Astyanax mexicanus: one gene and its partner. The protein of the gene in region 1 purifies or fractionates together with the protein of each later gene. This does not show direct contact. Links are inferred from orthologs where the notes say so. Each region holds a gene or a part of one and is shown on either strand. Other genes may lie near its edges.

Region 1 (8,064 bases):
AAAGTGAATTATGATTGTAATAGATCATATCATAAAACACACAATTCATAATTAATAATCAAAATTAAAAGTGATTGTTTAGACTGATCATGTAAAGCTCTTTTTATCAATAACTAATTTGCAGAACTGGCTCAGGCTGTGGTGGATGCTGGGGCAGTTCCTCTACTAGTGCTGTGCATCCAGGAGCCTGAGATTGCCTTGAAGAGGATCGCTGCTTCTACTTTGAGTGACATTGCTAAACACTCGCCTGAACTGGCACAAACAGTGGTAGACACAGGAGCCATTGCCCATCTGGCACAGATGACCCTGAACCCGGATGCCAAACTAAAGGTCAGAGCCTCTGCTGTAATCTTTAATAGGAATACTATGTATAGTCAGCGGTAATCAAGTGTAACCCTTGGGCCACTGTCATGCCGTATTTTACTTCTACTTTTACTATGCAATTTGAACCTGTCTACACTTACATTGTGTCAAAATGGACCAATAGAAATGCCACAAAATTACATGGAATAAAAATAGTTTACACTGTACGTAAAAAACATTATAAAAATATATTTTTTAAATACCAACAATTAAACATTGTTAAACTTAAATCATAATAAAATTCAAAAGAATTTACAAACGTAGCGGTAATTGAAAGTTTAGAATCTACACATAAATTCCTTGCTTGTTTGATTGAGGAAAAATTAAGGAAACATTTTGCCATTTTAAGGCAAATGTTGTATGACAAAGGGGGGCCTAGAAGAATTCTTGTCCACTAATTATAGTCTGCTCCTTTACAGAGGCAAGTGTTCTCAGCACTTGGCCAAATCTCAAAGCACTCAGTGGACCTGGCGGAGATGGTGGTGGAGGCTGAGATTTTCCCAGCTGTGCTATCCAGCCTGAAGGACCCAGATGAGTATGTAAAGAAGAATGTGACTACAATGATGCGGGAAATCACAAAGCACACACCTGAGGTACCTTCTGCATACAAAACTGCATACATATTCACTAAATCACTTCATACTGCAGAAATAAGGGCATATGGCTTATTACCAAGAAAAGACATCTTGTTCCCAGGATTTAAACTTATGATCTGCTAAAGATCAGGCAGTTCAACAGTTTGTGCAATTGTGTGTCCAAGAAAGAATGTAAAGAACTTTGGGGAGACTTACTCAGAACAGTTTGTTATATATATTGTAATTTTGCTGCTTCAAAGTGCCACAATTGTCTAACTTTATTCTTGTCAAAAGATAGATCTTAAGTTCAAATCCCAGTACTGCCTCGTTACATTATTCTCAGGAGTCCCCAGTCTCGATACATTGTTGGAATTCTTTTATCTTTACAGTAAGACTTATTTTAACCAGGGTGCAAACATTTTCAAGCCTCTGTAGATACTGTCATGTATTGAATCCAGTAAGGACAAAGGTAATGTGAGTGTATGTGTGTATGTGTTTCTCTTCAGCTATCGCAAATGATTGTGAATGCTGGGGGTGTAGCAGCTGTGATTGACTACCTCGGAGACTCCAGGGGGAACGTGCGCCTGCCTGGGATTATGATGCTGGGCTACATAGCTGCGCACTCTGAGAACCTCGCCATGGCTGTCATTGTTTCTAAGGTGTGTGACAACATCTGAATATTGCTTGTTTTATAAGTCATAAGCTAAACTGCTGTTGGAATTGTCCTTGCAATCAGAAAAATGACACCCGCATTTGGCATATCATTTGCCTGCATGTTTAGAAAAACATAAGCTAAAAATTGGTAAATGCATGATTCAATCTGGTTACCAGTTCTAGATTTAGCTAAAGCTGCTCCAATGATGTTGTAGAACAACAGTAAATAAAAATATACTTTTATTTTATTTTTTCAGTTTTCCATTAAATGTATAAAGAGATCCATAAGATATGTTATGCAATTTTATTTTGGCACTATTGTGAAAGGTAGTATTACACGCTTGTAATAGTTGGTAAGTTTTGTATTCTTATATCTGTCCTCTAGGGGGTGCCACAGTTGGCTATTTGCATGGCAGAGGAATCAGAGGACCACATCAAGGCAGCTACAGCTTGGGCGTTTGGCCAGATTGGGCAACACACACCTGAGCATGCACGAGCTGTGGCAGCAGCAAATGTGCTGCCAAAACTCCTTAATCTGTACCTGGACACACAGAGTTCTGAAGACCTGCAAGTCAAGGTTTGCATGTTCACCAGTACTGATGACAGTTCTGGAAATACCATCTGCATAAATAAATCTGCATAAAATAAAAGTTAACTTTTCTAAGCAATCCGATCAGAGGGATCTGAGTACTGGTATAATACTGCTATCTTGCGGTCAGGGTTTAAACTGAAAAAAATATGTATTAACAACTATTAGCCACCAATCTTTACATGTAAACTGTTCGTTTTTGAAAATTGACAAGTTGACAAGGTTTTTTTTTTTTTTTTACCAGCTGCAGTACCTTACAAAACAACCATGATCACTGCTCTTCTTATTTCCACAATTTAGGCAAAGAAGGCCTTAAAGAATATTCTTCAGAAGTGCACCTACCTTCCTGCACTGGAGCCCCTTCTCTATGAAGCTCCCAGCAACATCCTGAAACATGTCATCTGCCAGTTCAGCAAGGTAGGTGACTGGGACATAACAATCATGTATGCTGCCCAATAATGTTTCTGATTTAAACCAGAATTTGGGAACTTAAATATATGATGGGTCTGTTGTCGGTTGTCTCCATTTCCTGAAGGTCCTTCCACATGACAGTAAAGCACGTCGTTTGTTTGTGACCAGTGGAGGCCTTAAGAAGGTGCAGGAAATCAAAGCAGAACCTGGCTCTGCTCTGCAGGAGCACATCAACGCGATCAACAACTGCTACCCTGAGGAGATAGTCAGGTTAATACAACAAACTTCATTAAATCATATAACAATATAAATCATATAACCTTATTAGAAACCAGTTCAAGTGCAGTAGTGTTATTGAATTATTGAGATTTTTTGTAATATATTTTTTTCTTATCTGTGTTGCTTTAACAGGTACTATTCTCCTGGATACTCAGAAGTCCTGCTGGAGAGGGTAGATAACTATCAGCCTTCTTAAGATAAACTTGTTTTTGCCCCTGGGACCTTGTGGATGTGGAGCACTTTTTAGTTAACTTGTGTGTTTTACTTTATGGAGTATGTAAATGGAACCATATGTGTCAAAAAGAAATAAACTATACACAAACCTGTATGATGTAGAGGTGTATTTAATTAAATCTGGGTCTATTTGTTAATCATATACATTCAACATAAATGCAGTGTTATAATATAAGTACTATTACAACTATCAAGATACCTCTCTGTACTGTTTTTCATAATATGTTCATTTAACAGGTCCGAACCCTAATGAACCTGCTGTCTCAATGAGCACACCAGTGCTCATAATAATATAGACACATATTATAAAATACAAATAATAAAATTATAATACAATAAAATAAAATATTAATCAACAATAATCACCCTTTTCTTACCCAAGACTAAGCTTGTAATAATGGGTAATAAAATCTGAATAAAATAATCTGTGTTAGAAATATTTACAGGTGTATCTTAAGAAATTAGAATGTCGTTGAAAAGTCACTTTATTTTAGTAATTCAGTTCAAAATGTGAAATTCATATATTATATTTGAATGTATTACATGAAGTCCTGCTGGAAAATGAAATCTGCATCACCATAAAAGATGTCAGCCAAGGAAAGCAAAACAATATATATATTTTTTTTACCTGCACCTGTAATTTGTATTATTGGCGTTAGTCCCTTAAAAATAATTGTAATGATCACATCAATATTCCGTGACTAGATCATGGATAAAATCATGATTACAATTTTAAATGCTGGTACTTAAGAGGACAGTAATAATAGTGTATTGTGGTTTACAGTTGGCAGACTAGATACTTTTTTTTTTTTTTACTGTTTTACAATAATATATCAGGATAGTTATAGTAATGGGGCTTAGCAAACCTTAGGTTTAATTCCTAATCTTAAAAAATGAGAACATAACGTAATTTTATTGGGTTATTTTTATTTATTTTATTTATTTTAAAATCACACAATTAGTTTTCATGTAAGAGCGCCGCTCGTACACAGGAACCTCGAATCTGCTGCCGCCGATCCTAATGGCAGCGGCCCGCTCCAATAAGTGCACTAGTTAGGGTTCTAACTAGAGCGCGTGTCTAGCACTTATCACGTGTACACTCTCATATAATAGTTTATACCCATTTTTTTTTTCAAGTGAATTGTGAATTGTGCAGTACGCTGTGTATAAATAATGAAATTTACAAAATCACTTACAATTACAGCAGAGCAAATTCAATCAATTATTATGAATAAAAATACATTTTATTTAATTTTACAAAGTCACATTTAATTAAATTAATTTAAATTAAATAAAATAATCATATCTTTTTAGAATTCAGTATAAGTTGGTGTATTAAACAATAAAATATGTTTTATGATACATTTAAGAATAAAGAATGTCCTTATGTACTTATTATACACCTGTTCGCCTCCAGAGAATGTTTCCTGACAACTCTAACCTATTTTTAGAAATGTAATACACAGGTACATTTATCTGCTTGTTTTGGAAGGGGGTTCACTTTGTAACATTTTCTGTCTCTTTAATTAGACTTCAGACACTTAATAAAAAAGAAAAAAAATTAAGAATGTATTTTTTGCGGATTTAGACCTGCTTAAATGTTAAAAACAATGTTCTTGTTAAAACAGCTACAGGTCACATTCAGAATGTATTGACAGAACCACAAGCAAACTTGTGTAGAGTATCTATAATTAAGACAACATATATTTTTTTAATATTATTATTATTATTATTATTATTATTATTATTATTATTATTATTATTATTATTATTATTATTATTATTATTACTAATTTTAAAGCTGATCCCTGTTCACTAGCTCGGTAGTAAGTATTGGGACGCGGCCTCTGTGTACGTGTCGAAAGTGTGAGCGCGCGGCGGCTCGAGCTCAGGTTTACTCATTTCCTCCGATTTCATCATGCTCTGACTGAGCGCTGCTCTCATGCTGCTGCTGCTGCTGCGGAGAGCGACATCAGCCCTGCGGACCTCCACACAGCACTCAGCCCGCAGAGCCGCCGCGCAGACCCCCCGCTCACCCGCACTCCGCGCCCCGCTCTCCCTCTCAGCCTGCCTGGGCAAGAAACAGAAGACGAGCCAGTGGCTGGAGCTTTCTGAAGGTCAAAACATGGACGGAAACATCGAGGAGATCCTGGCTCCCCTGAGACAGGCGGTGAAAGAGCAGGTAACGATAACGCTACTGCGAAAAATAAAAATACTACAACTGCTAAGCTAGCTAACTATAGTACTCATAGGTGGAGCTGTTATAAAGCACGTTTTCTTAACTGAATAACTAAAATTGCAAATCGATAAAATCTTATTCTTCTCTGGATTGGCCTTTAAGACCAGGATGAATGAATGTAGCAGCTTTTGCTTTTGCTTCGCATGCTAACCTAGCTATAGCTAGCTAATTATTATGGTCAGGAATATCCTAATCAAATGTAGTTAATTTGGTTATATTAGACCCGGATGTGTAACAGGTTAAGCTCACTGCAGTTTAGTGATTGTGCCTGGGTTCAACCTCAGCCTTACAGTGCCACGTTTTGAGCTCATCTGGCTGCTACAGACAGACTGACTGATGGAGGGAGGGGAAAAAGAACAGGGCAGGGCGCTTTCTGTTTTGCTCTCTCTCTCTCTCTTTTTCTTTCTCTCTGTCAGTCTCTCTCTATTTCTATATCTCTCTTTCTCTCTCTCTCTCTCTTTCTCTCTTTCTTACTTTCTTTGGGAGGAAATAGATGAGCTGTAAGGAGATGTGGGGCAGTGGTTGACTTCTGCTATTCCAGCTGTTTCAGTTTCATCCTAGCTAAATGTGCTGCTTCTTCTGCTCAGGGTGAGCTGGTTCGTCAGATGAAATCAGAGAACGCCCCAGATGTGGATGTGACCAAAGCTGTGGCAGAGCTCAAGGCTCGGAAGAGGATACTTGAGGCCAAGGTAAGGACTGATCATCAAGGCTGAGTTTCAGGATGATAATCATTTTGCACAAGTCAGTTGATTTTTTTTTTAACAGCAAGTTGATAAATTGATGTCAGTAAGGTGTAGACACTTTGCCGTGGTTTGGGAGAAGTCCTGAATTAGTTTTGATGTCATAAACATCCCAAAAATCTGCGGAGCGAACCTCTGTTGTTAACTGGAAGCTGCTGGTACACCAGTGCGGTGGTCTACAATAAATAACTTTTTTTCCAACACAGTGGCTTCACCCATGAAGAATCCTATGCTTGAAAAACTTCCCCTTAAAGGTGGAAGGCATTGTCTGTGAAGGCATTATTGTTTCTTTATATGTTCGTTATATGTTTTCTTCTTTTTACTCCTTGTGTTGGAGGTGCACGGTGAATTGTGGCAAACTGAGGGCCACAATGGATACATCAGTTGTGTCTGCTGCATTTTTGTTGCTGTATATGAAGGATTCTTAGTTTTGGAACAGCCTCTTATAACGCTGGGTCAGAGAAAAACATAACATCTAGGATTCAGCCTAAACTATGTAATGCAGCTTGTGTATGTGTGTTTGCTGCGCACATGGATTTAAAGCACATTCCACGTGTCACTTATCATGTAAAAATTTGAATATGATGTTTTAGTCCCGTTTTTATTTTTTCAAGTGAATTGTGCAGTACGCTGTGTATAAATGATGAAATCACTTACATTTACAGCAGAACTTATTCCATCAGTTATTATGAATAAATATACATTTTATTTAATTGTATTAAGTCACATTTAATTTAATTTAATTAAAAATAATATATTTTTAGAATTCAGTAGGTGCACAGTGAAAGTGCAACTATGCAATGCAGCTTGTGTATGTGTGTGTTGCTGCACACATGGGTTTAAAGCAGATTCCACATTCCATGTGGGGTTACATCACAAGTATGTTGAATATGGTTGTCCTCTTGTCTTGAGGGCTGTGGCTCCCAAATACAGTCTAGAGATGTGTGTCAGGAAAACAACTGATTTAATTGAAATGCATCAATTTTCCCAAGAAGAGCGGTCAAATATCCAACCGATGTATGTATCCAACTGTATGTATAATTAAATTCAGATTTACCCAGTTACTTTGGTTTAATGTATTTATGGATACATTATTATGTATATCTGAAAGGGTGGTCTAATTTTACCAATTGAGATTAGTCCTTCTCATTTAGTATCTAATATGCTAAAGATTTGGATTCCCATCTTGGACTGCTTTTCTGTTGCTCACATCTCATTTCATCTGGCTCTTTTGCAGTTCATTTTGGACCAGAGTGTAACAATTTTTTTTCAGTGTTTTGTTGTTGCACAGCATTGCATCCCTTAGCCTCAACAAGTTGGACAAAAATTCAGCGTTTTGCCTCTCTTTTGTTTTTGCCCATTACTGTACAGTACATTGCACAGATAAATCTTACAGTTGTAAGAATATTAGTAATAGTGATGAAAAAAATCCAGACTGCTTCTATAGCCAATGACAGACACAAATTAATATATGCGCTCATTGACTTTCAGCAGTAACACTTGCTCACTGGCTTAATCTTGTGAAGAAAATGAAGTGGCCTGCTTAAAAAGTCTTATGATTTTTTAAGTTCCTCCTACTATCATCAACAGGAGAGATTTTTCCTAGTAGTTTAACTGGGAAATCTTGTTTTAGAGACTGTTGTCACATCATTTTTAGAACATGTGTATTGATGGATAAACCTTTTTTTGTTTTAAACTGGAGTGCCAATTTAAAGGCAACAGAAGGAATGCTTTTATAAAACTGTTTTTATTCTTTTACAGGAACTTTCCCTGCAGCCCAAAGATGATATCGTGGATAGGACTAAAATGGAGGATACGCTGAAGAGACGGTTCTTTTATGACCAAGCCTTTTCCATTTATGGGGGTATGTTTTAACTAATATCAAACAATGTGTAAAGTAAATGTAAGGCTAAACTCAAATCATAATGGATGTGACAATGAGTAGAGATTATGCTATTGCACCTGTTTTTTTTAATGATG
Region 2 (7,644 bases), on another chromosome or scaffold:
AAAATCAGATTTAAGAAACAAAACAGATTTTTCCTGTAGTATGAACAGCCTCTTAATTCAGCACTGTTTCCTTTTAGTCCTTTCATTACTGTTTTTGCTTATGTCTGAATTTTAAGTTGAAGACTTTTTATTCAGTAACTACTACAAATGATTGTAGTAAAGCTATTAAGTAACTCATGCTGTTAGAGTGCAAGGAATTGGTATGGGCCTACAAGCTGGCCCCATACAGAGAATTACAGGAACACATGCAAGTGTTTCCCAATCAAATTTGTTTCCCCAGTCCACTTAAACCACTTATTTAAAACCACTATACATGTGTGTTTGGAATCTGTTGTAGAGCAAACATGTGGCAACTATTGACAATAAAGGTAATTCAGGGGGTTATTTAAGCAATGTCACAGAAGAACCCCTTTTAGTTTTCTAAATAACCATTTTCTGTAAAAAATGTATAAATGTGAAGAAACTTTACATTTGCACAGAATGTTTAAGAAGGTTCTTTACACTTACATTTCTTTTTTACTAACATGGTCCAAAGGTAAAATAAGTACAAGCCTGAAATTGCCTTGTTTGTTTGGAGCAAATTTTGGTCTTGTTGATGGTTTGCGGCAGCTTTTACTTATGCTAGTTTGGTTCAGACCAAACAAAGGTAGGCTATGTTTATATTACAAGTATCTTTGCCCAGTTCCGTTTAGGGCTGTATGCTATTATTTTAGGGCCATATCCGATATTTCAAGGTATTTATGTGATAATATTTTTGGCAATATGACAAAAACTGCAAATAAACAAATATAAAACAGACTGCTTTCAAGAATATCGCTATTAGCACAACAAGGAGGTTTTTTTTATTGTGTCAAAAATGTTTGCAATATTATTGCTTACAATACAACACTCCTCTAGTTCCAATGTATTTTTGCATTAAAAGGTTCACGTTTTTGTGCTTCCTATCTCGTTCATGTCAAAAAAATGTCTGGTTATAATCTCATGTTTAAAAATAGAATTTAAACTACTTTTAAATTAAGTCTCAATCTGAGTGGAAAAGGTCTGGTTTCTGTTGTAAATGTCAGAAAATCTGATATGAGCTGCCTGTTTAAAAGGGACTAAACAAGGCATTTGTTGTTGTATCTATGTACTATGTACCACAGCAGGCAGATTGGCCCAATGTTCTCAACAAATTCAATATGTTTAAGGCTGTTTTATGTTTGTTTCTAATGTGACATACACTCGACAATCAACAGAACACTCCTAAACTGATGCAGCAATTTTTGTTTATATCAGCCTGAAATACTGATACATCCTGATATCTCGGATTAGTATCATCATCTCCACTCAGTACTGTGCTTTCAAGCAGCTGACTTTAAAACCAATGTACTCTTCTTGTCTGTCTTCTGACTCCCACTGGCTGCGTAAGCTAAAGCTGGTCCTAAGATCCATCAAGGAGTAAATCAGGTTCTGCCATTTATCAGGGGCTGAGGCGGGTCCTGGCATTTGTCTACGTCTTATCTGAGGAACCCAATCTAATCAGTGCAGTCTTCCTAAGTCAATGGTCTTTAACCCTTGTAGTGGAGGCACACTGCTCTGTAGATTTTAGGGTTTCCGCCAGCTTTAAAACAAAAACAAACAGACAACTAGCTATGTGGTAATGTAAATAAACAGATATAGAACTGGGTCTGGGATCTTATGAGTTTAAGAGAATTCTAACTAGGTTGATTTGTGGTAATGTAACTACTTAAATACAAACCTGGGTCTGAGGTCATAAGGGTAAAAGAGATTTCTAACTAGCTATGTGTTAATGTAAATAACAAATAAATACAGAATTGGGTCCGAGGTCTTATGGGTTAAAGGTTTCTAACTCCAGATCTGGAAAAAAAAATAAGTGACAACTTAAAAATTATGAGTTTCTTTGATTTTACCAAATAAAAAAACACTTTGAAATATAATTAAGGAGAAGACGGATGATCACAAGCCATCCAACCAAGCTGAACTGCTTACATGTTTGCACCAGGAGTGGCATGAAGTTATTCAAAAGCCTTGTGTAAGACTAGTGGATGAGAACATGCCAAGATGCATAAAAAAATTTGATTAAAATCCAGGGTTATTCCACCAAATATTGGTTTATAAATATAAACTTGTTGTTTTTTTTTTTTTTTTGCAATATTTAGGTCTGAAAGCTGAATGCTCAGCCATTTTCATTTTCTGCAAATAAATGCTCTTAATGACAATATTTTAATTTGGAGAATTGTTGTCCATAGTTTATAGAATAAAACAACAACGTTCATTTTACTCAAACATATTTCTATAAATAGCAAAATAAGAGAAACTGATTCAGAAACTGAAGTGGTCTCTTAATTTTCCCAGAGCTGTAGCTGTGTGGTAATGTGAATAACAAATAAATACAGAAGTGAGTCTGAGGTTTTACAGCTTAAAGATATTGCTAACTAGGTTAGCTATGTGGTAATGTAAATAACAAATAAATACATTTTAAACGAAACCAATTCTCAATATCGAACAGTGAGGAAACCCCTCATTCTAGTCCTACGCAAAGCAGCTGTAATGAAACCGAACCCGGTCTGTGAGAGTCTAAACAGTGACAATCAGTCAGACTAGTTGTTTTAGAGTCTCTAAGCTGCATGTCAATAAAATAATAACACGCCCTAAACGGCAGCAAGTGACACATACACACTAAACTATGCGGCACAGTTAATTCACTACGCTGGTTACTTAGCCGGCTAGTACAGTAGGTAGGTTACAGCCCAAATGTAAATGCTAGCTAGCAGTGCTAACGTTGTGCCTCTCGAGATGTTTAATCTATTTTCTGAGCTATTTTCACAATTACACAGATATATTCTAGTTCCTCTGAACCGTATGAACCTCTTCTACCTACAGACTGCGTGTTAAAAACGCTGAAGTTAAACACAGTAAGAAAAATCTCATGCTCCATTCACACTCACCACACATGTCTTCAGCACCGTTTCCAACTACTGTGGAGTTGAGTTCCGCCTCCGAGTCATTGGGTCTTACACAAGCTCCGCCCCCTCACACTCTACTGGACGAGAGCCCAGGCTGTGCCTACGTACCCGCCTCTGATTGGCGGAACGAGCTGTCAGTCACGCCCAACACCAGGTCTTCGCCTGCGGAGGCCGGTTGGTTCTACGTGGCAGAAGGATGCGTCCATGATGTCGACAATCACCTGCGGACCCGGCGCTCGCGGAGCTTTTACCTTTCGTCGGTTCAGTCAGTAATAGTGATGTAAATAGTGTCGCGTGTGCACAAATGATCCACACCAGGAAATCATGCAAAACAGACCTGCGCAAACTCCAGCGCCGGTACTCTACGTAGAAAAAGACAGCGTACGTAGCTACGCGGGGGTAGATCTGATTGGCTGCTGGCTGAGATACTTAGTGAGTGATGTGTCATCATACTGTCCGGGATGGAGAGGATCAGTAACAGTCATGTGTGTTTATGGTGATTATTACGAATAGTTTATGGAATATTCCGTCAAATCTGTGCCATTTCTGTCCCCATGGAAATTACATGTATAAATGTGCACACACAGTAACTTTAAAATAAATTTTATTATTAAGCATAGCGTCTTGTACATCGAACTAATTACGAAAGTAAGATTAGTAATTAAAAATATTAATAAAAACTACTTAGAACACTGAAAAATAGCATTTGTTACCTGTCCCCACTTTGTAACTATAAACTTTATCATAAAATATAATTAAATAAAATCCTTCGTAGATATAATTTATTTTTGCATTGTTGTGTTACTCCAAATCCCATATATGCTTTACAAGATATTTTACCTTCTACCTTAGATATTGTTTATTTTGATATACACATTTAATATACACAAAATGTGCTTAGTGTCCTTCTATTATTAGTGTCAATCTATTAGCTATTTTTCATGTTTTCATTCATAACTTAGAAAGGTTTCATCCCTAATCAATCCCTGATGATACACTTTATGATTAACTTACAAGCTGCTGTCTCATGACTTTTTGGCCTGTCAGTGTAGAATGGAAAAACTGCAGTGAAGTATATTGTTTCTGTGAAACTGACAATAGCAAAAACATGATTCCTGTTTGGTATTAGTGAATCAGAATATGAAGATATCATGTATCGTGATAATATTGTATTTTGAGATGCCCTGTGATTCCCACCCCTAATGTTAATGTGTATTTGTTTTCTGAATATATTTTGTAATGTACCTTCAGTGTAAGGTATACCATTCTTAAAATTACTTCTTTAATAAAATATAATATAATATAATACTTAAAAAAGTGAAAACATTCATCAATTTTGTCTGAATTTGTCAATTTTATTATTGCTCTTAATACACACATTTTCTACATCTGTACATTGAATTAAAAACAAATATACATGTGGACAGGCCATATCCACTGTTATTTTTGTGCGTCTCGAGTTACTGCAGGGTTGGGTAATATTAGGTGGAACACTGAAAGCATTATAAATATCAGGAGAGCAGAATATTACCATTAAACAAGATGCATTCACCCAACTTAAATATACATATACCTAATACAGTATAATGACAGGAAAAAAAAACTTGCATTGAGCAATGACGCATGTCACACAATTTTCTTTTAAGATTTAGATGCAATTATCTAAAAAAGCACGGATCCCCTGAGCATACTGTCACTGTCGTCACATTCTTCAGAAATTTTACAGGAGAAGGAAAACCCTTTATAAATTGTAATAAAAGTCAGTGTAAAACGATTTTATTCCAAATCAATTTGGGGAATTTCTACAGAACCATTCACTGTGAAATTCCAATACAATGTAAGGAACAACTGTCAGCCCTAATCTCATCCAGACAAACATTGAGCTTCATCACCTGGCGTTTAATAAAACAGATATTTGTCCACTGCTATGCACCGTGATTACACATTGGGCACAACAGCGAGTGGAAATGGAGAAGCTACTGAACACACAATGTGACAAAGCCTAAAAAACCCTCACTGGTCCTCCTGTTTTTTTTCAATTGCAGTCCAGATGCAAAAGTTTTAACACTGAGTAGAAGTGTAAATATTTGTCATGGACGTCACTTTGAGAAACGAATCCCGTCAGTGTAGAGCTTTAGATACACAAGATTTGTTTGTGACAGTGACAATATCTATTTGGCTTTATTACACCCCCCCTCAAAATAGTCAAAATAAACTAAACATGGCAAAATTGAGTTTTAGTCCTCCTCTGACTTAGTTAGATTGTGGTGAGAGAAGTGGCTGCTGGGAACTGTAGGAGACTGGAATGTAGTCCAGATGAAATACTCCTTCTGGCTAACACTCATCTCTGGGCTTCCTGTTCCACATCCTCAACCTCCTCCTTCACCTGATGAAAGGAGCACAGAGATCAATAAGATGAAAATAAGAAATTGATCAGTTTATTACTAACTCTGGCTTGATAGTTTTCCCTTTGCCCTCATCATATCTTTAAAAGGGCCTAATTGCATTATTACACAGTTATACATATTATTGGTTGCAATTATATCAATCCTTGCAATAATTTATGGGAAATTATACTGTCCAAAAATATAGTAGTTGTTGTGACAGGCCTATTTGTTAGCTACATACATGTTGTAGCTCCAAAATAACTAAATGTGTAAACTCCACCTACCAAACATGCCTTAACTCAAACTACATATGGGGTTAATAGAAAACCATGTAAATCTGATTTATTCTTTTAAAAAAAGATATTAAATAATATTAATACAGTATAAATATTGCAAGCTGGTTAGCTTTACATGTGAAACAATAAATGGTCTCCATTAACTTTTCTTTTGTTAAAATTCTCTTACCTGCTCCACACCCTCCACTTCAGGGACGTAGAATTGCAGCATGTTTTGGATGCCATTCTTTAAAGTGACGATGGAGCTGGGGCAGCTGGTGCACGAGCCCTGGAGCTTCAGCTTCACAATACCATCCTCAAACCCGCGATACAGCACATCCCCACCATCCTCCTGCACTGTGGGTCTGAGATGGAAGACATAATTTTGAGTCATTTACCAAAAACATAGTACCAACATGGCATTAATCAGAAGAGTAAACTACATAGACAAAAGTATTTGTCCCAAAGATTTTATACTAGACTTTGGAGCAATGCTTGCACTTTAAGGTAAATTTGCCTCATATAACTGCTTTAAACCTAGATCAAATAAAAAAAAACAGATAAAACAATTGTACTCTGAAGTAAAACAGACAGAGAAATGAGTGTAACAGTACCTAATCCGTGTGTCTAGCAACTCTTTGATCATAGACACGACTTCATCATCATCATCTGAGGGGGCTGAAAAATAAAGTTGTTAAAGTTGTTAATGTTTTCTCTAATAACTGATCCAGACTTTATAGTTGCTGCTGTTACTGTTTTCAGTTGTGTAATGCACTTTTGATCATTTCAGTAGCTAATATAACAGTATTTACAGAAATATTGTCTCACATGAAAATCTACCTCACATGAACTAACAGTTCGCTATGGCTTGAGTAAACTTCCATATAGGCTTCCTTTACTTGTTGAGATAGTATGCATTTATTAAGCAATTTATTCAGATCACTACATGGAATGCAACATGGTGATCTGATGATGTGACCCTTACACCTCGTTTGATGTGTTATGCATTTTAAAATGCTTTGGTTATCTGAGTTACAGTAGCTTTTCTGTCAGCTCCAACCTGTGTAACTAAAGGGTGATTGGCCAATTAGATACTTATGGGTGTACAGGTCTGTCTTTTGTCTTATATGTGCTAAGTGAATGGACATATTTAAATAGTTTGTAGCCCCAGTGCAGTTATGTGCTTATTTGAGTAGCCATGTAAAAGACATACTCTGATTTGAGTATGGTCTAAAAATCAGATTAGGAAATCTGGTAGAGAGATGAAAAGCTTTGTAAACCACATTTCTCAGTCCGTGAATCCTCTTAAACAGAGCATTCTTTGATTTTTCAGTCAGCGTATGTGTTAAACGATTACATAACCCCCCCCCCCCCTTCTCCCAATTTAGCTAGGCTAATTGTCCCACCATTCAGCTACTCAGCTGTATATCCCCCATCACAGGTGATGCCACAACACAAGGACGGTGAAGACTAGCACGTCTCTTTCGACACATGAAGCCAATCACCGTCTTTTTTTCGAACTTGCCGAGTACCATAACAGCGCGCTCGGAGGAAAGTGCAGCGATACATCCGCTCAAAGACGCCTTGGGCTGATCGACATCACCCTAGGACTGATGAAAGTGCACCAAGCTGATGGCAAGCTACATGAGCAGGATTCGAACCAGTGATCTCCCAATCATAGTGGCAGCGCTTAAAACCACTGGACCACTTGTAAACATGTAAACATGTTAATAGGATTACCAAATAACTCCAACGTTCTGCAGCAGTCGGAAGAAGTGCATGTAAATATGAAAACATTACCGGTGTCTGCACTAGGAACTGCATCCTCAGAAACAACAGGAAGTCCAGACGTGAAGAAATCCATAATGGTAGCAAATACATCCGGCTTGATCACCTTCCACTCTGCATCCGAGTTAGTCTGATATCAGCAAAGAGATCTACCGTTAATTATCTGTATTTTGGGATGCATCATAAGTGTTGTTTGGGATGTATCATGGAACACTACTGATGATGCAT

Evidence for each region. The genes of interacting proteins can lie anywhere in the genome.
Region 2: the proteins of gars1 (region 1) and gfpt1 fractionate together in Homo sapiens (co-fractionation; 3 studies listed by BioGRID, with this or other methods). This does not show direct contact. The link is inferred for Astyanax mexicanus from reciprocal best matches to the Homo sapiens genes GARS1 and GFPT1.

Annotation. Positions count from the first base shown.
Region 1 is NC_064408.1:95,367,516-95,375,579, forward strand, and holds the start of gars1 (glycine--tRNA ligase), read left to right. Parts: upstream 1-5,025; 5' UTR 5,026-5,047; coding exon 5,048-5,287; intron 5,288-5,931; coding exon 5,932-6,033; intron 6,034-7,845; coding exon 7,846-7,948; intron 7,949-8,064. Other genes in the region: spag6 (sperm-associated antigen 6), read left to right, coding at 125-330, 783-956, 1,445-1,597, 1,978-2,169, 2,482-2,598, 2,717-2,862, 3,004-3,067. UniProt on the Homo sapiens protein: Catalyzes the ATP-dependent ligation of glycine to the 3'-end of its cognate tRNA, via the formation of an aminoacyl-adenylate intermediate (Gly-AMP).
Region 2 is NC_064419.1:27,191,331-27,198,974, forward strand, and holds the start of gfpt1 (glutamine--fructose-6-phosphate aminotransferase [isomerizing] 1), read right to left. Parts: upstream 3,057-7,644; 5' UTR 2,956-3,056; coding exon 2,949-2,955; intron 1-2,948. Other genes in the region: NFU1 iron-sulfur cluster scaffold homolog, mitochondrial, read right to left, coding at 5,308-5,352, 5,819-5,993, 6,243-6,306, 7,429-7,546.